3 linked regions of the Arabidopsis thaliana genome follow. The protein of the gene in region 2 interacts with the protein of the main gene of each other region in a pairwise test. Each region holds a gene or a part of one and is shown on either strand. Other genes may lie near its edges.

Evidence for each region. The genes of interacting proteins can lie anywhere in the genome.
Region 1: the proteins of MEE18 (region 2) and AT3G61310 interact in a two-hybrid assay, tested with the Arabidopsis thaliana proteins (one large-scale study listed by BioGRID).
Region 3: the proteins of MEE18 (region 2) and AT1G29120 interact in a two-hybrid assay, tested with the Arabidopsis thaliana proteins (one large-scale study listed by BioGRID).

What each region holds. Positions count from the first base shown.
Region 1 is NC_003074.8:22,686,521-22,695,575, forward strand, and holds AT3G61310 (AT hook motif DNA-binding family protein), read right to left. Parts: upstream 6,631-9,055; 5' UTR 5,926-6,630; coding exon 5,469-5,925; intron 5,154-5,468; coding exon 5,086-5,153; intron 4,985-5,085; coding exon 4,853-4,984; intron 4,768-4,852; coding exon 4,606-4,767; intron 4,525-4,605; coding exon 4,279-4,524; 3' UTR 4,061-4,278; coding exon of another isoform or gene 1,142-4,060; 3' UTR 1,090-1,141; downstream 1-1,089. Other genes in the region: AT3G61290 (O-glucosyltransferase rumi-like protein (DUF821)), read left to right, coding at 1-252; AT3G61300 (C2 calcium/lipid-binding plant phosphoribosyltransferase family protein), read left to right, coding at 1,142-4,060; AT3G61320 (Bestrophin-like protein), read left to right, coding at 7,299-8,162, 8,228-8,395, 8,482-8,688, 8,778-8,954. UniProt on the Arabidopsis thaliana protein: Transcription factor that specifically binds AT-rich DNA sequences related to the nuclear matrix attachment regions (MARs).
Region 2 is NC_003071.7:14,395,190-14,402,043, reverse strand, and holds MEE18 (maternal effect embryo arrest 18), read left to right. Parts: upstream 1-2,768; coding exon 2,769-3,048; intron 3,049-3,272; coding exon 3,273-3,389; intron 3,390-3,498; coding exon 3,499-3,631; intron 3,632-3,743; coding exon of another isoform or gene 3,744-3,758; coding exon 3,759-3,855; intron 3,856-3,996; coding exon 3,997-4,040; intron 4,041-4,127; coding exon 4,128-4,284; intron 4,285-4,512; coding exon 4,513-4,584; intron 4,585-4,726; coding exon 4,727-4,810; intron 4,811-4,981; coding exon 4,982-5,083; intron 5,084-5,171; coding exon 5,172-5,219; intron 5,220-5,287; coding exon 5,288-5,413; coding exon of another isoform or gene 5,414-5,500; coding exon 5,501-5,761; downstream 5,762-6,854. Other genes in the region: AT2G34100 (nonsense-mediated mRNA decay-like protein), read left to right, coding at 389-478, 989-1,241, 1,369-1,481, 1,629-1,901, 2,031-2,339.
Region 3 is NC_003070.9:10,171,576-10,179,651, reverse strand, and holds AT1G29120 (Hydrolase-like protein family), read right to left. Parts: upstream 5,466-8,076; 5' UTR 5,172-5,465; coding exon 4,982-5,171; intron 4,440-4,981; coding exon of another isoform or gene 4,437-4,439; coding exon 4,289-4,436; intron 4,061-4,288; coding exon 3,993-4,060; intron 3,652-3,992; coding exon 3,581-3,651; intron 3,465-3,580; coding exon 3,219-3,464; intron 2,912-3,218; coding exon 2,748-2,911; intron 2,666-2,747; coding exon 2,610-2,665; coding exon of another isoform or gene 2,581-2,609; exon of another isoform or gene 2,518-2,580; coding exon 2,462-2,517; intron 2,039-2,461; coding exon 1,870-2,038; coding exon of another isoform or gene 1,841-1,869; exon of another isoform or gene 1,792-1,840; coding exon 1,694-1,791; coding exon of another isoform or gene 1,658-1,693; exon of another isoform or gene 1,614-1,657; coding exon 1,509-1,613; 3' UTR 1,506-1,508; exon of another isoform or gene 1,422-1,505; 3' UTR 1,131-1,421; downstream 1-1,130. Other genes in the region: AT1G29140 (Pollen Ole e 1 allergen and extensin family protein), read right to left, coding at 1-187, 455-623; AT1G29110 (Cysteine proteinases superfamily protein), read right to left, coding at 6,581-7,131, 7,516-7,969.

The DNA of each region.
Region 1 (9,055 bases), on a different chromosome or scaffold from region 2:
GAAAATGCAACCGAAGTGTGTTCGGAGACGATGGCTTGTCCGATCACTGACGGTGGCCTGATCAGGCAGTGCATGGACGACTCATTGGTTATGTCTCCAAGCGTTAAATCGGCTTGTGATTTGCCGCGGCCTTATAGAGATGATGAGCTGAAGAGGTTTCTTGAGAAACAAGAAAGTGCGGAGAGAAAGGTTGAGAAGTGGACCAATGAGTATTGGGAGGCCCAAAACAAGACATTTCAACAAAGAAAGTAAGTACAATTCACCCGGGAGTAATGCAAGTGGTATAACAATATTAAATGTTTAAAACTTTATGTCAGTCGTCATATAAGCACCAACTTTGTTTGTTTTTTTAACAAATGAATATGATATCATTAATTCTTTTCTGTTAACTATCATTATTGGTTAGACGTCCGATTTTCACATAAATATTATCAATTTATCATTTAAACAATGCAGGGAAAATAATTGGAACCTTGGTTCGTTGGTGCTAATGTAAATGAAATAAATTAGTTACAAGTTAAAGAAGCATTGCATAATTGACCCCAAAAATTACGAGTTTACATTGTAAAATTAGGCATTTGCCCAAAATATATATATATATATATATATATATATATTTACAGTAAATAGCCAATTTGTGGAAGGTATTCAATTTATTTATCTGCAAAATAATTTTCGATAGATAGTTGTGAGAAAAAACCTACCAAGCGAATTCGATAGATAGATTTTTTTTGCTTGAGGTTTTAACAAATTTCATGTCTTTTTTTTTTTCTGATAACATACATGACATTTTCTGAAAACCCTACCACGCAATTTTACTAATTTTGGATTTAAATACGACAATGTACCTAATAAGCCCTTGCATTATCCCCAATCTTACTTGTTGACAAATAATGTTTTTATTTAATATCATATAAATTCATAATCAAAAGAATTCTGATGATTGGCGTCACGATTAATAACAGATAAGCGCGTTGCGTGACCCTAATTAAATACGGTCAACGTTTAATTACATTACAAAATTCCCCCAAAAAAACATTTGCCTAGTTGTCTTGTAAGACAAGTCTCCACGATCTCATAAGTGTAGAAGAAACTTTCAAAAACCTCTGCTCTGTTTTCTTCAGAAATTTTTTAAGTAAAAATGATGAGTAATCTGAAACTTGGCGTTGAAGTCATAAGCGCAAGGCTCAAACCTAGAGAGGACTATGGCGGTGTTAACGCTTACGTCGAGCTACGATTTGACGATCAGAAAGTCATAACTATGACTAAGATCGATGACTCTAGTCCGGTGTGGAACGAGAAGTTCTTCTTCAACATCTCTGATACAGAGGATTTATCAAATCAATTTCTTGACGCTTACGTTTACAATAAAACCAGCAGCATAACAAAATCTTGTCTAGGTAAGATTCGAATATTGGGAACTGCGTTTCTCCCGTACTCAGAAGCTGTTGGATTGCCTTATCCTCTAGAGAAAGAGAAATGGAGCATGTTCTCTTCCGCTGCCGCCAATGGAGGTGAGCTCGCTCTCAAAGTTTTCCTCACTGATAACCCCTCTCCCAAGGTACCGAATCTAATCTCTACAAAGAAGATTCCTTCTAAATCAAGGCACAAATTTCACAACATCCCCACAAATGAGAGTAACCATAGCCCACGAGGGAATCAGCAATCGTTTCAACCGCAACCGCCTCCGCCTCAATCGCAAACGGCTCTACCGCCACCGATGATGGAGTCTTCTCTCTATCAAGCACCGAGGTTTGGTACTCCGATACCTACAACTATGGGGTTTAATCCGAATCCACCGGATTATTCTATCAAAGAGACGAAACCGATTCTCGGAGGAGGCAAACGAGCAAGATCAAGTGATCATGATCTCGTCGAGCCAATGGAGTTTCTCTTCATCAAAATCGTGAAAGCTAGAAATCTTCCATCCATGGACTTAACCGGAAGTCTAGATCCATACATCGAAGTCAAACTCGGAAACTATACCGGCAAAACCAAACATTTTGAGAAGAATCAAAACCCGGTTTGGAACGAAGTCTTCGCTTTCTCCAAATCCAATCAACAATCAAACGTTCTTGAAGTCATCGTCATGGACAAAGACATGGTCAAAGACGATTTCGTCGGTTTAATCCGGTTCGATCTCAATCAGATTCCGACACGTGTCGCACCAGACAGTCCTTTAGCTCCAGAATGGTACAGAGTCAACAACGAGAAAGGAGGCGAGATTATGTTGGCTGTTTGGTTCGGTACTCAAGCCGACGAAGCGTTCTCAGACGCGACATACTCAGACGCTTTAAACGCTGTTAACAAATCGAGTTTGCGTTCTAAAGTCTATCATTCTCCAAGGCTTTGGTACCTCCGGGTTAATGTCATCGAGGCACAAGACTTAGTTATTGTACCAGACCGGACTCGATTGCCAAATCCATATGTAAAAATCCGGTTGAATAACCAAGTGGTTCGAACCAAACCGAGTCACTCGCTGAATCCAAGATGGAACGAAGAGTTCACTCTCGTCGCGGCTGAACCGTTTGAAGATCTGATCATCTCGATTGAAGACCGAGTCGCACCTAACCGAGAGGAAACGCTGGGAGAGGTACATATACCGATTGGTACAATTGATAAACGGATTGACGATAACCGGACAGTGCCTAACCGTTGGTTTAGTCTTAAAACTGAGAACCAGAGAAGAGTCAGATTCGCGACGACGAGACTTCATCTAAACGTTTGTCTAGAAGGAGGCTACCACGTTCTTGATGAATCTACTTACTACAGCAGCGATTTCAGACCGTCGATGAAAGAGTTGTTGAGTCATAAACAACCGTCTTTTGGTGTTCTTGAATTAGGAATCTTGAGAATTGAAGGTTTGAATTTGAGCCAAGAAGGGAAGAAGGAGACGGTGGATGCTTATTGTGTAGCTAAGTATGGAACCAAATGGGTCAGGACTCGAACCGTTACGAACTGTTTAAACCCGCGGTTCAATGAGCAGTACACATGGGAGGTTTATGAGCCAGCAACTGTAATAACAATCGGTGTTTTCGATAACAATCAGATCAATAGTGGTAATGGTAACAAAGGAGATGGGAAAATTGGGAAAATCAGAGTTAGAATCTCGACTCTCGAAGCCGGAAGGATCTACAGTCACTCGTATCCGCTTCTTGTTCTTCGACCTTCAGGTTTAAAGAAAATGGGGGAGTTGCATTTAGCGATTAGGTTTTCCTGCTCATCGATGTTTCAGATGCTAATGCAGTACTGGAAACCGCTTCTTCCCAAGATGCATTACGCAAGACCGTTGAAAGTAGTGCAGCAGGAGATTCTTAGGCAGCATGCGGTTAACTTAGTGGCAGCTCGGTTAAGTAGAGCCGAGCCGCCACTTAGAAAAGAAGTAGTTGAATACATTTCGGATTCAAATTCGCATTTATGGAGCATGAGGAAGAGCCGTGCAAATCTCTTCAGATTGAGTTCTGTTTTCTCTGGTTTACTAGGAACCGGAGAATGGTTTCAAGATATCTGCAGGTGGAAGAAACCGGTAGAAACTACAGCTATTCATATAATCTTCTTGGTGTTAGTGTGTTCGCCGGAGATGATTCTTCCAGTGATGTCTCTTTGCTTGTTCATGCTTGGGGTATGGAACTACAGGCTCCGTCCAAGACAACCTCCACACATGGACACAAGACTATCATTTGCAGACAATATCCACCCGGAAGAGCTTAACGAAGAGTTCGATACCTTCCCTTTTTCGTCTCAAGACCCGGGGATTGTAAAAATGCGGTACGAGCGGTTAAGGAGTATCGCTAGTAGAGCTCAAACGGTTGTGGGAGATATAGCAGGTCAAGGAGAACGAGTTCAGGCTCTGTTAAGCTGGAGAGATCCAAGAGCAACTTCGATCTTCATGGTGCTTTGTTTGGTTTCTACTGTCGTTTTGTATGTTGTGCCGTTTAAGGTTTTTGTTCTTCTCGCCGGACTATACATCATGAGACCTCCAAGATTCAGGGGTAAGACACCTCCTGGACCTATTAATTTCTTCCGACGACTTCCTGCTAAAACAGATTGTATGCTGTAGAATGCTAAAACGTATAAGAAACAAGCAATTTTTTTTCCCATTCATAACAAGTCAAGAGACCAAATCAACTAACTGAAAGCTCGAAAACACGCAGAAATTCCTAAACTTACTAATTGTCTTTTTCTTTCCTAAACAATACCAATAGACTACTTTGTTTCAGGGAGGTTAGCTCAAGTTTCTTCTTCTTCTCCTAGATTCAATGCTTATATATACATGAATCATCCACGCATTAGATCAATGTCCATATGGGGGTGATGCATATCCATTGACCTTGAACCAGTTGACCAAATGCCTACAGGAGTCTGAACAATGTTCTGACTTTGCTGAGGAACAGGAGGTGACGTTGCTGCTGTGTTATCGTTGTTGTTTTCCAAAGCATCAGTATCTTGGACATCTTCAGAAGTTTCTTCACGTTTTTTAATCTTCCCTTTCGGAATTGCCCAAATGAAGCTGCCAACAATGACCTTTTAAGGAGGCAAACACACATAGTTAAGCATAAGAAATCTAAATTCATCTAAGGAATTTGATAACAAGCGTAAGCTCACCTGGACTTGGCTTGCTGCTATTAGAGGACCTCCAATTCCACCACCAATGACACGACCATCGGGGCTAGCAAGTGAGACCGCTAGACTTCCAGTGCGGTTTGGGTAGTCATTGTCAGTTGTGTTCAGATAAGAAGTTGAGAGAGATATGAGCTCGAATAGACCCTATAAGTTTCAAAGTATACACCAAAATAAGTAATGTTTTTGTCTTCTAAAAGATAATAAAATGTGAGTGATGATTCAATAAAACCTCGTATATAATAGTTCCATGAGAAGGTGCTGGCTGAAGAAGAGTTGCAGTAGAGACAGCACCACTTGCGGATAAGACACATATCGCTCGTGGACCTTGATGCGAGAACGATATAACCTTTGAAGCAATGTCCTGAAAGCAACACCGAGAGTATGGTTATCTCAAGAACTAGAGGCAAGATTACAAAGAAAAAAAAGAACAGATTTATTCAAGAGGAGACAGAAGAAACATACTTCACCAATGGAAACTACGATTACATGCGGTGTGAAGCTCATCCCAGTTGATGAAGGCATCATTTCACCTTACAAAAAAGAATCAAATGTCTTCAGAAAAATCACAGCTAATTGTAATCAGGGAGAAACAGAGCAATAACAAAGTTTAAGAGAAAGGCCAAGGAATAATAAAAGAATAAATATTGAATTCAACAATTTGACATTATAAAATTCCACAGCTTTAATTAATCCTTAACAGTTCGAATTAGCTTATAATAAACTTCCCACCAATGTCCTCATTTGAAAAACTATATCATCAATTAAGCTCAAAACTTCCCACCATATTCAGAGCCAATGTCCTTGTCGGAAAATAAAACTCATAAGTTAGAGATTAGGGATATTACCAATGGAAGATAGCCGTTGCTTCTTGCCGGAGCCAGGAGGTCTTCCACGGCCACGTTTGTTAGAGTTCGGGGAAACGTTGGAGATAGAAGGAGACAATGCCAACGAAACAGAACCACCATCTTGTCCATATTTTCTAGGCCGTCCTCTCTTCCGCTTCACAGACGTGTCACCTGAAGGAGGAGCAACCAAAGCTCCCGCCGCCGCCGCTGACGAATCAGCCGGAGAAGAGTCAACGGGTAAAGGAGGAGACACGAATCCAGTAGAGACACCTCCAGGGTTTGGATTTGGGTTTGGGTTTGACCCAAAAGGAGAGATGGAATTGGTGAAATGATGAAATCCTTGTGATCCGTGAAACGTTGGTTGAGTTTGAGGAGGAGGAGGACCAGAACCGGGGATTCCTCTTTGGATATAGTAAGAACCCGACCCGGATAACGCCATTGCGTCTCTTCGATCCATAGCTTAACCAAAAAGACTCTGACTTTAACTTAGTAAAATTCGATGGGGACCCTAAATGGCTAACTTATAGGAGGAGGGATAAGAAGAGAACAAAATCAGAATCTAAAAGGGTTCGATAGACTTCAAGAGCAAGATAACAACATGCAACCGAAAATCTCTGAAAACTTATCAAAACACACAAACTTTCATTTCACCTAATTGTTTTTTATGTAGCTTTAGTATCAAGCTATGAGAAAATCTCAAGATGAAATTAGATCCAAAAGAGAAAAGGAAAGAACTTTAATTTTCTTCATCTCTTCTTCTCTGTTTCATTCTCTCACCAAAAGCAAAGAAATGAAGTGTGAATAAGCTTTCTCATCCATCAATCAACAATGGTGAAGAAAAAAAAAAGTTTTCTAGGGTTCTCTCTCTTTCTTTCTTCAGAGTGTATGTGATGTTGCTTTTTTTCTTTTACTGGGTGACAGAGGGAAAACAGAAACAAACAAAAAAAGATCCTTTCTCCAAGCATTTACTGTGGATTACAATACAATGGGATGATGAGGCAGGATTTCAAAATTCGAAATTAAATTTGAAGTCTCTGACTTTTGACTGTGATATAAGCTCTCTCTCTATCTCTCTAATAGACTTCTTTCTAGCATCTAGCAATTTGTAGGAGGGATCCATCCATCCATCATCATCATCATCTTTGTGTGGCTCATTCTCAACGCTATAGATTAGGTGCGTGTATCAAACGAAGCATTGGGAATGAGAGAGTGAATCTCACGCTTCTGATGTCGAGAGTGAGAGAATAGTGATGTGATCTAGTCAAGACTTTCTTTGTTCCTCACTGGCTTCCACTTCATCATAAGCTTTCAAAATTTATGAATCCCCCAATCTATCTTTAGACTCTATTTTACCATAAATACTTGAGACTAATGATTATATATTGGCATTAAGAGACATATAACATGAATATAAATTCCCATTTTGTGGAGTAAATATTGTTCTTGTCTCTGTTCTGTTCACTTTAAATCTTCATTTTTCTCTACAAACAATAATCATTAGGACCCAAGAGTTTATCAACAATACAGAATCTGAACGTTTAGTACTCATGTCATGTGAAGTGAAGTGAAGAAGATCAACAAGAACATTAATTGTTTGCTATAATCTTCTATGGGCCGGATAGGAATAATTAGGCCCAGTATCTAACACATCAAACAAAAACACATCGAAGTCGAATCGTCGGTGGGATAATTAGGCCCAGTATATTCAAACAAAATAACATTTAACAGATCCAAGTCCAATGTTGTCGTGGAACGAACGTCGTTTAGAATAATTAAGCCCAGTATTTAACATATCAAAGCCCAATGTTGTCCTAAAACGACGACGTTTGAATGTGGAACGTAAACAATCCTGGAACAACCGTTTCAACTACCTTTTTCCTATCACTTGTTTTTTCACCTCTCGAAGTCCTCCGATTTGCTACCCTTACGCAGCCTCATGTGTCAACCACCATTTCTCTTCTTCATCTTCGTCTCTATCAAACCCTAAACCTAAAACCCCTTATTTTCCCGCCAATGTATCAATCCATGAATCTATCAGTTTCTTCCAATTTCACTCACCGATCACTCCTCGAATCACGATTTCCTATATTCTCCACCGGATTCCGCAAATCCGTCAATCTCAAACCTCCCCGTGTCTCATCTGGTCCTGAATCCAACGATTCAGGTCACGAAACCTTAACCGATAAGCTTATCCATCTCCTCAGAGCTGTTCCAGATTGGGCAGACGAGATTAAAGAGCGTGGGATGCAGCAGAAACGCTCTCTCTACACACACGAGAAATGGGTTGAACATAGAAGCTCTCTTCGCCATGTGCGTCATCTACTCTCGAGCTTTTCTTCACGAGTTATACTCTCCCTGATTCCACCTGTTTTCTTCTTCACAAGCGTCGCGGTTGTGATCGCTAGCTACAACTCCGCCGTGGCTTTGGATTGGCTTCCTGGTATTTTTCCAATTCTTCGATCCTCGTCGTTGCCGTATCAGCTCACAGCTCCGGCTTTGGCTCTTCTTCTGGTCTTTCGTACGGAGGCTTCGTATTCTAGGTATGAAGAAGGAAGGAAAGCTTGGGTTGGGATTATTGCTGGAACTAATGATTTAGCTAGGCAAGTTATTTGTTCCGTTGATAGCTCCGGTGATGAATTGATCATCAAAGATTTGCTTCTTCGTTACATTGCAGCTTTCCCTGTTGCTCTTAAGGTAAAAAATATTCATCTCTTGCTTGACTCTATTGTTGGTTTCTGATGCTTTAATTTCATTTGCAGTGTCATGTGATTTATGGTTCAGATATAGCAAGAGATCTCCGGAACTTGATAGAAGCAGATGACTTATCTCTGATTCTTCAAGCAAAGCATCGTCCGCGTTGTGTAATCGAGTTCATTTCTCAGAGCATTCAGTTGCTAAAACTAGACGATGCAAAGAGAGATTTGTTGGTAGCATTCTTGAATCCTTGAACTCTCTATTAAAATTCTTTGCTATGAACACTTGACACCAATATATGTTCTTTGCGTCATTGCAGGAATCAAAGATGCTGCATTTACATGAAGGAATTGGAGTTTGTGAACAACTCATGGGCATTCCGATTCCTCTCTCTTACACACGCTTAACCTCGAGGTTTTTAGTCTTTTGGCATCTAACTCTCCCAATCATTCTCTGGGATGAATGCCATTGGATTGTTGTTCCTGCTACTTTCATTAGTGCTGCCTCTCTGTTCTGCATAGAAGAAGTACTTTGTCCTCCTCCTCCTCCATACTTACCCTCTTTTGCTTGAATCCTTAACCATTAAACCTTCTTTTTGGATTGGAAACTCTGCAGGTGGGTGTTCTTATAGAAGAACCATTTCCTATGTTGGCCTTAGATGAGCTTTGCGATCTTGTGCATAGTAACATCCAAGAAGCTGTTAAATCTGAGAAAGTCATACGTAACCGCATCATTGCAAAGATAAAGCTCCATGAATTCAAGCACTCATCAAATGGTCGCCATAGATCTTGATTACCGGTTGGTGTGAGTGATGTAGGTTGTCTTCCCGAGGGAGCTAAGAACATGTGATGGCTTAGGTTAGCTTTGATATATACGTATCGTATGTTAGAGTA
Region 2 (6,854 bases):
GAAGTCCTAGTCTTATGTGTTATTTTAGAAATTAGGAAACGAAAAAAAGTTATAAAACCTCGTTAAAACCCAACTCGTTTTTTCCTGCGCTCATTGTTCCTCTATCTCTCCAATTCCTCCGAAGCAAATCTTCTTAACTAAAACTTCCTCTCGCACGTGGTTTCGTTTTCATTCGTAAGTTTTCTTTTAGCGATTGTGCAATTTTCGAGACATTCAATCGTCGTTCTCGATCGTTCTAATTAGGGTTTCCGCGACTCTTTTTAGGCCGCTTAAACAATATTAAGGAGATTCCTTTTATTGACTAAAATTAAGAGTTAGATAACTGAATTTTGGTTTTGAAACCCTTCCCTGTTTTCATACGGTACCAGGTCAGGTTAAATTAAAGATTATGGGAGGCGTAGAAGGTAACCAGTGGTTTGATAAGTTTATGGACGAAGTCGGATTGGTATTTACCAAGGTTGACGAATCGATACAGAAGGTAAGTACTCTTGTTCTTCTGGTTTGATCTTTATTTGATGTTTATGCCCTAAAATTCAAGAGTTTATGGTTCTGTCTATGTTGTGTGGCTAAAAGACTAAACCTATGTTCTTTTATCATCATCATCATCATCATCATCAACGCAAAGTATATGCTACGAATTGATGTAGATAATGTATTTTAGTTATTAGTGTATTTAGTAGTTAAAACAGAATTAAGGTTTCCAAGGTTCTTTTAGATTTTTTTTTTTCTTAAACGATGAAGAGTATAAAAAAAAGTTTTGCATAAGATCTGAAAATAGAAAGACCAAGAGATCATAGAAAGACAGCTTCAGTTCCATCAGATATTTTATTAGATTTATGGAAACCTAATTGATCACGGTCTAATCCTTTTGAAAACCAGAACTATTCATGATAGTTAGATCTTTCCATAAAACAGGCTTCGATTGTCAAAACTTACCGTTTACATGACAACTTTTCTTTGATTTGGTTTTTCTTTTCTATATTTTCAGAGTATTGAACTCTGGACAGAGTTAACCAAAGACATATTTGACGACCAGCCTAACCAAGACTTGACCGGACAGCCAGATAATGGTGGATCTGGTGATGAACATTCCTCTCAATATCCTGTCTCTGAGGTCAAAGAAAGACCGATTCAACACTGGTATATGTGCCTTTCTGACGTAAAAGAAAAACCGCTTCAACACTGGTCTATGTGCATTGCTGAGGTCAAAGAAAAACCGAGCCAACACTGGGCTATGCGTGGTATGTGTTTTATATATAGTATATATTACATTATAGTTATTGTAAATACCATTAAATTAAAGTAGCTAGAACATCAGCACTTTTTTGGTTTCTTGACTGACAAGTATCATATTGATTTTCTTGGCAGCTTCAAAATTCCCAGAGAGTTTCACTCAAGCACAAGGTGGTGATGATTGTTATGAAAATTATGGTGATGGTGCTGATGGTATTGATGATGATGATTATGATGAAGAGAATAGTGTAAGTTTGAAGCACTTTTCCCATTTTCATATCAAAGCTCATTAACTAGAATAAGTAAATCACCATGGATTTTGTATAACGGAATTTTGGTAAATTTAATTAGTTGCTACTTTGTTTATTGTCTCTGACTGAATCTTTCTGATATAGGAATCGAGTTTGAAGTGGAACTGTGACTATCAGCTGTTAAAGAGTGGCTACTTGTCTTTCGATGAAGAAGAAGAAGAGGATAATGACGATGAAGAAGATGTTGACATTTTCTCCGAAGATAGTGATGATTCATGGAATGAGGATTTTGATGATGAAGATGAAGAAGCGGATACTACAGTTTTTAAATATTCCGAAAACATGTCGGAGCTTGATTTGGGATCAGCGACGAATTATACCCCTAGTTCCTACGATCATCGTAATGAAAAAGATAGTGTAAGTTTTTGTGTAGCAGTTTTTTTCACATTTTTATACCTATGCTCATACAAAAACTAGGAAAATGATCATCTATGAAATGTTGTTATTTTAATCAGTTGCTGATTTGGTTATTGTATTTGTGATTAGGGTTCAAGTTTGACGTGGAAAGGTGGTTATCAGCAGTTATATAATGTTGACACGTCTTCCGACGAAGAAGATGAAGAATCATGCGATGAGGAGGATGATGAAGCTGGGGAATATCACTCTGAAGAAGCGATGGAGATGTCGCGCGAGCAGAGAATGAGCGAGCTAAGGAAAGTGCTTCATGACGATGAAGATGACGTATCACAAGGATTTGTGAATGTGAGGCGAGAGACAATTGCGAAGAATACGGAATTTGGTGAGGTCGAGACCCTTTTACCAGATGGTGATTGGGTTTATGTGAAGAGTGCTTAGGGCTCTGATCTTTTGGCAAAAAATGTGTGTGATTTGATCGAGTTTATACTTTACATCGGCTTTAATGATATTTATTTGTGTAGTTTTTTGAGTGTTTCATTCGTTTTTCACAAGGCTTATGTCACTCTATTAACTTGGGGTTTAATACCAAATAGTGTACTTTTTCTTATCATTATTGTTTGTCTTCTTTGCCATTCGATCATGTGATCTTTTAGATTATCTTAAGGTACCTTTCCAGTGGAATCATCGACATTTGGTCTATACATGTATTTTGAGCTCAAACACTAATGCAAAACCACAATCCCACCAAAATCGATTTAACACTAGTTTTGGTTTATTGGACCAAACCAAGTAGAAAACCAACAAAACCACCAGTACCGTGATTATTTTCTTTTCTAACGCGTAATAAATATCTTTTATGGCTTTATTATGCACTCTCATTGCGAAAAAAGAAAAATCCAAAGGCTTGGAAAATCGACAAAAACGAAAAGGGTAGTGGTGAGATGTTTCATCATTCTCTGTTTCAGTTCGGTAATGGCGGAGATTTGCTATTTTGGGGGTCTAGTCCATTATAAATCACCATCTCTTCCTTTGTCTCTTCATTCTCTCTTCCGCAGCAAGAAGCCACATTACTACAATTCCACTTCTCTCATGGCTGAATGTCTCTCCTCCTCCACCGTGGAGCCTCCTTCTCTCCTCGTCTTCTCAGGTTCCACTTTCTTCCTCTTCCTTGTTTCGTGGGTCTCCCTAAAGTTACGATTTTTATGTCGATAAGATCGTCTATTTGTGTTAGATCTTGACCAATTACTTAGAATTTGACATTTGTTAATTCTGTTTGTTGCAAAGTGCAAAGCTTTATCATTGTCTTACATTGGTTTAGGTAGTTTTCTTTTGCTCTGAATTTTGGAAAACGTTATATTTGTTGCTATGAAGGTGGTACTGGATTTAATGGTGTGGTTGAAGAGTTGAAGAAGTTAACAACACGAGTCGCTCATGTTCTTCCTGTCTCTGATGATGGTGGAAGTACTGCTGAGATTGTTCGTGTTCTCGGTAAGTTTTAGAACTCACTAACATTGCTACAAGACCCAGATTATATATGTTTTAGCTTCTTTAAGTTTTTACCAGAAGTAATCTAAGCTCAATATCTCCGTTGCTATAGGAGGGCCAGCGGTTGGTGATATACGTTCGAGGTGTTTAAGGCTGTCTGATGAGAGTACTTCAGAGGCACTTGCTGTTAGGCGGTTGCTTGGCCATCGCTTACCTATTGATGCACATCAGGCCAAGAAAGATTGGTAATTTATCCAATGACTATGTTTTCTTTATGCACATAGTGTGGTCTACTCTATAAGCTACACATTTAAGGTTCTGTGGTGGACAATATTGTGTAATATACCATTGGCTGAGTTGGAACTTTGACAGGTACGATATTGTAGAAGGTAATCATTCTCTGTGGGATGGTGTATCAAGACCCTACAGTGAAACAATTCGCGCTTTCTTGATATACTTTCAGAATGAGGTAATGTTAACTGATACAGAGAAACATGTTTTTATTGGTTTCATATTTGATCAGTTCCAAGTTCCAACTTCTTGATTGTTTAAATTTTTCTTTACCTTAATATTCTGTCATTTCTTACTTGACATGTTTCTTATGATACAGATTCATAGGCGACCTAATGAGAGATTTTGCTTCAGTAATGGAAGGTATTGAAGATCTTTTTCTCGGCTTCAACTGTGTATTATTTTGTTCGCCTGTTTAGTAACTCACTTATGATTGTTTCCTTCTTGTAGCATTGGGAACTTCTTCTTTGCAGGAGCAAGGATATTTTTCCAGTCTTTAGATGCTGCAATTTTTCTGTTTTCACGTGTTTCAGAGATTCCTTGTGACAGTTTGGTCCTCCCAGTGATATCAACCAATGATAGGCTAACACTAGGATGTGAATTACAGGTATGAAGCTTGATCTCTATTTGAATTCCCGCAGCTAGCTTATGGAATCCCATTCTTGTCCACAAATATCGCAGCTAAAGCATCATTATTTGCGGGAAGAAGTATCGCTTTCTATACATAAATCTTGGCTGTCGCTTCACTGGCCATCTTCTTGGTTTAAACAATTAATGGCAAGATTGAGGTGGCAAATTTGTTCGCAAACTAACAAGTTATGACTTTAATTTGTAGGATGGGACTATAATACGCGGACAGAACGAAATTTCTCACCCGACCACTGGGACTACGCAGACAGTTGACAAGGTGTTCTATTTGAATATCTTACATTGGTGTTTTTTGATGATCACGAGAACTAAGTTTACTATATACTTGTATCAATTAAAAATGTCAATTTTGCCATATGTAGAATTTATTTTCTTACATTGTCTTTCTATGTTTCTAGTAGAGACATTGTTCTACTTCCGCTCTCCCATCGAAGATAAAGAGAGTGTTTTACATGTCAAGTGAAGGCAATAATCTGCTTCATGAGGTTAACTACTCTGCTTTTATATATACAGAATGTCCTAGATATCTTCAATGTTATCTCTAATGATTCTGATTCCCTTTAAGAAACTCTATCGTTTTAGTTCTCTACTTCATTTCTTTGTTTTGCACGGTGTATTTGACATTGCAAATGTTTGGTGTTATGTCCATTAAACAGGTCTTCCCACCAGTTAACCCAACTGTCCTAGAGCAGTTGAGAAGCGTGGACTGTATCGTTTACGCAATGGGATCCCTGTTCACTTCCATTTGCCCATCACTGGTTAGCACCCGCAATAAATATGTTGTGCAAAAATGGTGGATTACTAAATTTGTGATAACTGTTATAGACAAGTCTTTCTGTTCATCAGGTTTTGCTTGGTGTTGGGGAGATTATCTCTTCCAGGTCATGTCGTAAGGTATGCTGAAGCTTGTCAAAAATACTAATGATGGTAAAAATCAATCTGATTTCTTCTCTCTGTCACAGGTACTTCTTTTGAACGGTAGCCAAGACCGAGAAACAAGCAGGTTCACCGCTTCCTGCTTTGTGACTGCTATCGCTGACGCTCTCAACAGAACTCATGGAGATACTAATATTCGGCTCAAGAATCCCGTGAGTGGTTCTTCACAATCCACACTCTTTCGATGTCTTCTTTATCAGACATATATCGATATCCAAGAACATCATTTTTGTGTGCAGCCTGGATATTACATCAACACTCTCTTGGTCCCGAAAGATGGAGAAATAGCAGTAGATCTCAAACAATTGTCTGAACAAGGGATATATGATGTTGTCAGTATCTCTTTCCTTCACTTGTTTCCAAGTTTATGTGCACAACAAACACTCACTGTTACCTCCACTCTATTGCAGAGAGTCGTGGAGAGTGTTGGTGACCCGAAGCACGGTATCTTGTTCAACCCGAGCTCACTGATAAACACACTGGCCGGTTTGGTGGAGTAAATAGTGATTCTTTAGGCCAGAGCTAGTTTCTTCTTCTACGCAATTGGGACCATGATTTTTTTGTTACTGTTTAGTTTGATCCTTTAGTGAATTGATATGAAAGGTTATGAATGGTCAATGATCATATTCTTAGCTAAGGAAAGACAAACGCCTCTCTTTCTCTCGGAGTTGTATCATATGTTTTTTCTTACACGTTTTACATATAACTACTGTACAGATGAATACAGTTCACTTTCCAATGAAACCAAATGATGACATTTCTACATAACTATGTGTGCTTTTCATTCCCAAACAAGCAAAGGCATCTTTGTTTCTCACTGTGTATTAACATGTGTGCTTTTACTAAAAAGATGTATTAAAGCAAAGCAAATGATGCCAGCAACAAACAGAGCGTGCCCTGAGATTGGTAGGGCCCTAAGCCCATACAACTTTGTTGGCCCTTTCAGTTAAGTTTAGAAAAGAATCACTTGTTCAATAACCAATGTTAATTGTTGAAAGATGAATTTAACCGAAGATTTCTTTACAAGTTTTTGACACAGTGATCATAATTTTATAATGCTCACAAGTAGCAGTACGTGACTCTTGTAAGTCAAGTAGAGAGACATAAATATACCAAAATATTAAACTTGTATGATGACAATGACGCATCCATTTGAGCCCATGCTTCATTGCTCCTCCATTCAGTGATTGGGCAGACATATAATATGTATTGTTTTAGACACTTTGTTTCTAGTCATTCGTTGCGGAAATGACAAACAAATCAACTTTTTAACAGAATTTATTACAAAAATATGTAAAGTACACGCCAAAAGAAAAAAGTGTACTACTTTCATAATTTAACATAAACTATGCTATTTTTGACTAAACCTTAAGTGTTTACATACTACGAGGATCCTAACCAAAAAGGAATTCATAAAGTGTGATCTCTGAATAATAAAAAGAAAACTATAAATATATGGGGTAAATAGCTTACTTGGTGAGATTTCTTGAAATAAAATTGGACCAAGATCATGAATTCGTGTTTCGACGGGTTATAGAACTTTAAATTATTACATAACCAACCAAAAACTGAAAAAGGTTACTTTAGTTATTA
Region 3 (8,076 bases), on a different chromosome or scaffold from region 2:
AATTCTTGGTTGTTCACGTCTCCACACTCTGGGTCAGGTGATTGGAGGAGGACGATCTCGCACACTTCCTCTTCGTGGTCACCCATTACTTCCATCTGGTAGTTACCGGCGTTGTCGGTCACGGCTTCTTTGGTTAGGGTCACTGTCTGGTTCTCACGACCCTTGCACTCAAGCTTTACCTTTGCCCCTGATATACACACAATAACGTAATTAGTTTTTCTTATAATCTTGCAACACTAACTCTTAGAAATGTGACTAACCACATTTTTATAAAATTTTAACATTGTTAAAAAGACGTCTATATATGCTTGTAATCATTTTTGTGAATTTTTACTACACAATTCTAACCATTGACCTATATACCATAATGGGATCGATTTTTTATCAACCAATATATTTTGCTATTGACAGTATGCTCAACAAATGAATTTGATTAGAGAATGTGGTTAATTACCCTCGAGAAATTTGCTGATACGGGTGATGAATTGGACACGGCATGTGTCGCAGTAGACGGAGCCCTTGATGTGGAATTTGTCAAAGTCGTCGGCATCAGCTGCGGTGAAGTGAACGAGGGTGGTGAAACATAGGGCAGAGGCAAGGAAGACAATGAAGAATTTGGCCATTATGCCTTAATCCTTTTTTTTCTTGTGTTTTTACTTCGGTCTTCTCCTCTCTTGGATTTGAGAGTTTATTTGTAAAATTTAGTTTTTAAGGGAGAACAAATTGTAAGCTTTGGTTGAGAGGAGACGCTATGATAGATCCAACCAAATATCTCCTTTTATAGAGAACAAATAGACAAAACAACAAAACCATGTGATTCTATATCTATTTTTGGAAGTTTTTTTGTTTATTTTTGGTGTTTTTGTTCTTGAGTTTTGTACGGCTGTGTTTTCCTTGAACCCGATCTTTTCTCATTGCCATCTGTTTTTCTTTTCTGTTAATAATTCTTCATAGATTCCGTTTAGGTCTTTTTTGTATGAGGATGGTTTCCCAAATGTCAATCTATAGAATCTTATGTATGTTTAGACCTCCACTAAAAAGATTCAATGGGGGTGGAGAATTATCTACTAGACCCCAAAGTGAAAGTTTTATTAGTAGTAAATGACTAATTAATCTGAGCCGCACATGAAAGCTTTTGCACAATTTTCTTTGAATTAAGAAAAATTCCAAAAACAAATTGACTAGAAACAAATGTCTTCAGCTGAATCTGTTATTTTGAAGAGTAGAGGTTGAACATATATAACTTTTCTCTTTAAGAAACCTTAATCTATAATAACATCTTTCAAGTGTTGTATCATCAACAAGCTAATACAAGAAAATCATGTACAGATGAATTGGATTGTACTTCTTCTGATTTCGCCAAGAAAAAAAATAGAAGAAGCAAAGATGCGAACATTCTTGATCTGCACCGATCTCCCAAACTGTATGGTAAAAGCAAAACACAGGAATGGTTCAAATGTCGTAGCACACTCAGCATTAACGGGTCAAACACTCGAAATGCTCACGATTTATAAGCTGGCGGTAATAAACGTGGAAGACTCTTGCTGTTTTATACTATCTGCAACGTGTGCAATAACTCCAGCTCCTGCTTTGTAAAGTCTTTCACTTTTCACCTGAAACAAGACTCAAAATCTCTGTTAGTCCATGTTTCAAAGAATTAAAAAGCTCCAAAGTGAAGATGTTGGAAGTTTACGTGAATGTTGTTATGAGCTAAGTAAGGCCAGAAGGTGGAGTGGAAGCTGACATCAACTTTCTTCCACCCCAACCTCTGCAGACCGCGGATCATTTCCTCTGCACCAATATTTGTATAAATTGTAAATCTCATGCCGATTTAGAAGAATCAATCAAATGTTTGGGCTAATTCTACACCTTCCACAATTTCATGATACTCAAGTGTGTTCTGAGGGCTAGGAGAGCTTTGTGCGGCCTCCTTGGCTTTAGCAGCTTCTGGAGGGAAATGGGCACCATCTGATGAAACAGGTGGACAGTATTCAACATCAACAACATGCTTGTATCCATCCAGAGACCGGCGTGAAGGCTATATTAAAACAGGGGAAAAACATATCTATCAGATCTCACTCGTGACAGCTAAATAATTTTCAAAGTTTCATTTGACTGGTTACAAGCCACAGAGAGCTTCTTGCACGAAGCTACTTGAGATAAATGAATTGCCGAAAGTATTTTTGGTGATTCTCTACAGACAATTGTTTCATTTCTTAGACTCTTTACCTCTATGAAACTTTCCCTCTATGATTACTCATAATTCCAAAATTCAGGATAAGTTAGCTACCGTTAGCATTTCACAGCAAGCTAACTATCAATATCGATGACCCCATCATCTAGCTAGTGTGTGCTACACGTTTCAGAGTCGAAATCAACTTACATAATAGAAGGAACATGAAAACAAGTGGGGTAATATTAAATAGAAAGGTTCCATTGCTTCATATAGCATGAAACGTACCTTGATAAGTTCAGTTTCTCTCCTAATGGAAGATGTACGCCAACCAACCATGTCTACTTGATGTCAAAGGAAACAGTTCAGAAAACAAATGCAGACACAGCTAGGCACATCTGTACTAGTTAAACAGCAACAGAAATGCACAGGATACGGTCATAAGATACGTTTGCATATATAATGCGACTTCGAAATGCCCCCAGCGCCGATCTGCCAGACAATGAAATGCATTAGGATTACAGATAAGTCATTAAGGGGTCGAATGATTTAAATTGGTAAGAGCATTACTCACAAGAATTTCAGATCTTCACCATCAGATGCCATCCTCAAAAGAAGAGGTGGTTTATCAGCTTTACCATCAGTGAGGAACAACTGACTACCAGTCCGACCAACAAAGAATGGAGCTATTGGTGCAGCAAGTTTCTCAAGAATAGGAACTCCCAACAGAAAAGGCAGCTGATACAAGGGGTTCCAGAAAAAGAGGAGAGAATGAGATAGAATTTACAGGGATTATCAATTAATATTCATCACTCATCAGTCTAGACACTTAGGGGACCAAATAGCAAAAAACGCAAGACAGTTTTGATGAAACTTATGATATCTGTCTGAACACAAGGAGAAGGTAGATGAAATTTACATGTGAAAAACGACTAACTACTTTCTTAATTACGCATACACCACATCTACGTACAGGTACTGCGAGATATATATGAAACTCTTTGATTCCAAAATTCCAATTATGATAAGTAGAGAAGAAGAGAACCTGCTTTCTGCCTCTCACTCCTAGATGAGGTGTTGCCAAAGTGATGAAATTAATCGGTTCTAGCCCCGCAATCCTACCTCGCAGAAGATTTGAATTGCCAGATTGAGAGACAGCAACATCACTTACTTGTGCCATTGCTGCTGAGTAAAGAACAGCAACAGCATGTCTGGAAAATAAGCCACCGAGGGAGTGGGCTAAAAACGAAATCTTCTTTAAGCTCTTGCTCTTTTGGACAACTTGTCTAACCTATTCCTCTCTCACATCCAGAATGGGAACAGAAATCAGCTCATGTACTGAAGTTAAGGGCTAGAAAACCAAGACCTACCTATACACGAGGTGCAAATGAAGATATTAAAACTCACCTCTTCTGCTAGTCGTTTTCCAGCTCCATCGATCCCGCCAAATGTTTTAGTGAAGGTATTGGAAGAACTTGCTGTGAATGTTCAGGAGAAACAGAGTAAATTAAAACACATCACGTGTGATCCATTCCACGCATAGCATAAAAGCACATGAGTATTATAATAAAATACAAAACTAAAGAAGAGTTGTGGTTCCAGACGAAAAGATCTTAAATTTTTCAAGAAAATGTATATTTCGCCTCTTGCCGCTAAAGATTATATAAGACCTTGAAGTGTTTTCAATTTTGTGCCCAGCACATGCATTCAACTTACGTTACCATTTCATTCCCAAAAATTCTCTTCTATTATACATACAATCCAACAACTACTCAACTAAACTAATAGATGATAACAATTTAGAACAAGATGAGCATACCATAAATCAAGAATCTTCTTCCAAGGCGTCTTTTCAGCTCAGCTTCTACGTAGAGCCAGTCGCTGGGACTGCAAGTAATTGTGTCTTAGTAAATTTGGAGTCTATAAATTATTCAATCTGAAAACAAAGTAGCAGAAATGATAGACATAACTTTCTTTCTTTTTTTTGACAATGATAGACATAACTTTCAAATTCAAATACTTGCAAGTTTCTATCCAACCTAAAACAAAACCATGAGGGTTTCCCAAGATGCAAACCCAGTACCATTCAATTGATGAACTACTTAGAAATAATACCTGGCCAAAATACCATGTACAAGAACAAGAAGATGATCAGGTTCATTTTTGTCATCGGAGTCGCCTTTCGATAGCGAAAATTTCCGTTGGGCTGTGGAACTCATTGCCTGAACCCTGCGTCCCTGTTGGTTCCAGCTTCTGTTTGACCCTTCTTAAAGAAAAATCAAACAAATGAACCCGCGGAAAAAGCTATAAAGAACAGAGCCAATTCTTAACCAAACAAATCATACTATCACCATTTCTACTTAGCTTCTCACAATCATTTAACATGTTCAAGCTTATTTTCGATCGCAGAAACAGGGAAAAATCTGTTTAAATAGACACCGAAATTGTGAGCTCTAAATCAAAAGAAAAACAGAGCCGATTCTTGACCAAACAAACCATACTATCACTAATTCTACTTGGCATATCACAATCATCTAACATCTTAAAATCTTCTATCTCTTGCAGAAACAGGGACAAATCTGTGTATATAGACACTGTAATTGAGCTCCTCCTCAATCTAAATTAGGCGATACTATTCTTCACCATCCTAAACAACGTCTTTGATCGAGAAATCCTCAGCTATGAAACTTTGCAGTACAATGTCAGGTCATTTCCAGATGTAACAACGCATCATTCGATAAACATGAACAAAGTAATCAATCCCTAAATCTACACGACAAACATCATTCGAAGATCAAAGCCTATTACCGAAATCGAAATTCAAAATCTCCGAATAACCACAGGAGCACGAGGATGAAGGCGAAGGAGAAGAAGCGGAAGCTGAAACAACGCCGGAGGAAAACTGCCGCGCGCTGCGAGAGCTTGGCTTAGAGAAACCGCCACGATCCGGTAAGTATCTAAAAGGAGGTTGTTGAATCCAAGAAGAAGCCGTAGACATATTGATGTTGAGCTTATATATAGAGAGAGGAGAGAAAGTCAAAATCAGAGAAAGGAGTGGAAGAAAGATCCTTGATTCACGGTTTCTGAGTGACGTCACGCTTCAGAATCAAACATAATAACTCTCTCTACGTTATCTTCTTCACAGAGACCCATGCTCCTCTCTATCTCTTCCATTCACTGCCAAATAAACATTCAATCATCATCTTCTTCGACTTTTGCCAATTTATATAATTTGATTTTATTACTTTTACTTTATAATTTCGGGTGGTGCGTGTTGTTGTTAGGCGACTCAAACACAGAATATTTTTATTCCGTTTTATATTCAAAAAAAGGTTTAGAATCGGACCAGGTTCTTCTTCTTCTTCATCAACCAATTCACTCCAAAACAAAGGTCAAAAGAATACTATTTACAATTTTTTGGTATATATATATATATATATTTTCTGTTTTAAATTTTTAATCAATACTGCTAGTAGTTTTTTTTTCTTTTTTTTGGTGTAAATGGTAAGATAACACCAAAATATATTTGTCTACTAAACCGAGTAAAATTTTTATGGTTTTTGTAAAAATCCAATTGTTAACTTGTTAGTGATGCTTTCCAAAAAAGCCCTTACATGATATTGTCAAAGGGGTATCTAAATATCATATGGTGCGAATTGGTTATGTATATGTAGTGTACTAGTGTGTCGTCGTGGACCTCGAGGTATCATATGTAACCGGGTGTTGTAGATGTTGTTATATTGAAACTAAACTTTTATTTGGACAAGTTAAAAAAACAAATCAAGCTTAATGATGGATTCATATATAATTTTTTTTTGTTTTTTTGCTAATCTACTTATAATACTGCCTAAGGTATCTTAATCATAAGGATATCATGTCAAGATATCCATTATTGGTCGCAGAAATTTAAAGAGTTCCAATTCCTTTTCACAAAACGTTGCAACAATGTTGCCGCTTACCATTTAGCTAATATGGATGTGTAGATTCACCTTTCTATTTGGATGTCTCTAATCCAGCCCCATGGATTTGCCATCATTTGTACTAGTTTGATATTCGATTAAAGTTAATAAAGGTTCATTTTCGATGAAAAATAAAATCAAAATCTACTTGTAATTAACACGTCTTACACTATAATTTTAGTTTTATTAGCGATAATTTTAAATTTGGTTTTAAAATTTGCATTGAAAATTCAAACAATGTTTCTTATGGAACACGATTTAAGTGAAAAACACATCCCTTTATTTATTATGAAAGTGAGGGAAATACGTTTATATGGAGTAATAAAATGAACATATTACAGTTTTTAAGGTCAAGTTTAAGTTGCAATTTTACCACATGTAAACAATCATAAACCAGGCTACAAAATGTATGATCACTTCAATATAAAAAACCACCTAAGTAAATTAGTTAAAAAACCGGATAAGCAGCAACCTGAGCTATACCACACATTCCTTGAGGCCACTCCACATCTCTACGGATCCTCATGTAACCATTTTCTCCCCAACTCTCACCCCAAGAGTTCTTAAGAACCCAGTAGTTGAGCCCACTCATCGTTCCGTACCCAACGATCGTCACTGCATGATTCACGTCTGTCCCACAGTCCAGCCCAGCGTACACTCCCCCTTTGTAATGACCGAAACTGTCCGCTCTTGCGTCAATCAACACCGAGACGGGCTGTCTTCTTACGGCCTCGAGCAACGCACGCTCGTTGTGGCTTGGAACCATTTGAAACCCTCTAATCTGTGTATGTGGGGCGCGTCTGGCGTTGGCACGACAACTCTCCTTTTTCACTTGGTAAGGGTATTCCGTTTCTAAAGAAACGCCTCCGTTTTTTATTATGTACTTGAAAGCTTCTTCAAATTCTCCGCCATTGCAACCACCGTTTTTCTCTATGTCGCAATCTATTAGCTGTTGTTCGGACAGTGTTAATAGATTTTTGCCAGATATCTTTGTCAAACCTTCATCGCCCCAATCGCTGAGAACGCCCAACAACTTCCTGCCCATGTATATATATATTGGTTACTTCATTTTGTTAGTAAACAAATCATCTGTTAGCCCTAAACCTAAAATAACCCTATCTTGGGGATTAAGTTTAGCGAAATGTATTTTTTTGTATGTGGAATGTAATTTTGACATTAATTAAATGACCAATCCAGCCGTTTACTATATCGTACGTATATTGTTTTCCGACCAAAGAATTGCGACGAATCTGTTTCGTTGGAAATTCGGCTGAAACAAGATGTTCCGACAAATTCTTTGGTCGGAATATGCTATCCTTTCTTGTAACGCTGTTTCCAATTATAGTGTAAAGTGTTTATAATAAATGATCACAGTATTCTTACGACATGCTCCTTGATATTTAACAGGTGTTACAGCTCCTTCGTCTCTCCAGTCTTTGCTTTCGTCTTCCATGTCGATATCACTCATGTTCCAATTCCTTGATGGCTTCGTTTTATTAAATAGTTCGGATAGTGAAGTTACGTTAACGCGGAGGCCGGTGTGGGTCGCAAGGAACTCTTCTGTTTTCCAATCCGTGAACTCGTTGACACCAAGTGTATAGCTTTGGTTCCCCATATTATTGAAGTTCTCAATGAATTTCAAGTTTTTCTTGAACACTTTAAGCCTCATTTCTTTCTCGGATTCATCCTTGTAAACTCGAGAGAATTGAGTCATCCATTGTTGGTGGTAATCAACAATTGATTGCTCGTTCAAAGTGACATGAGGTCTGGCTTGAGAGATCCTTAGATCCATGGAAAGAATGGTTAGAGCCACGAACACAGATCGTACAGACACCATTTCGATTTTTGTGAGTAATATTTAAAGTGTTTGTGTTGTGGTGATGAAGAAGTGAAAATGGGGAGAAAGAGTTTTTATATATATATATAGTATGGAATGAGAATTGT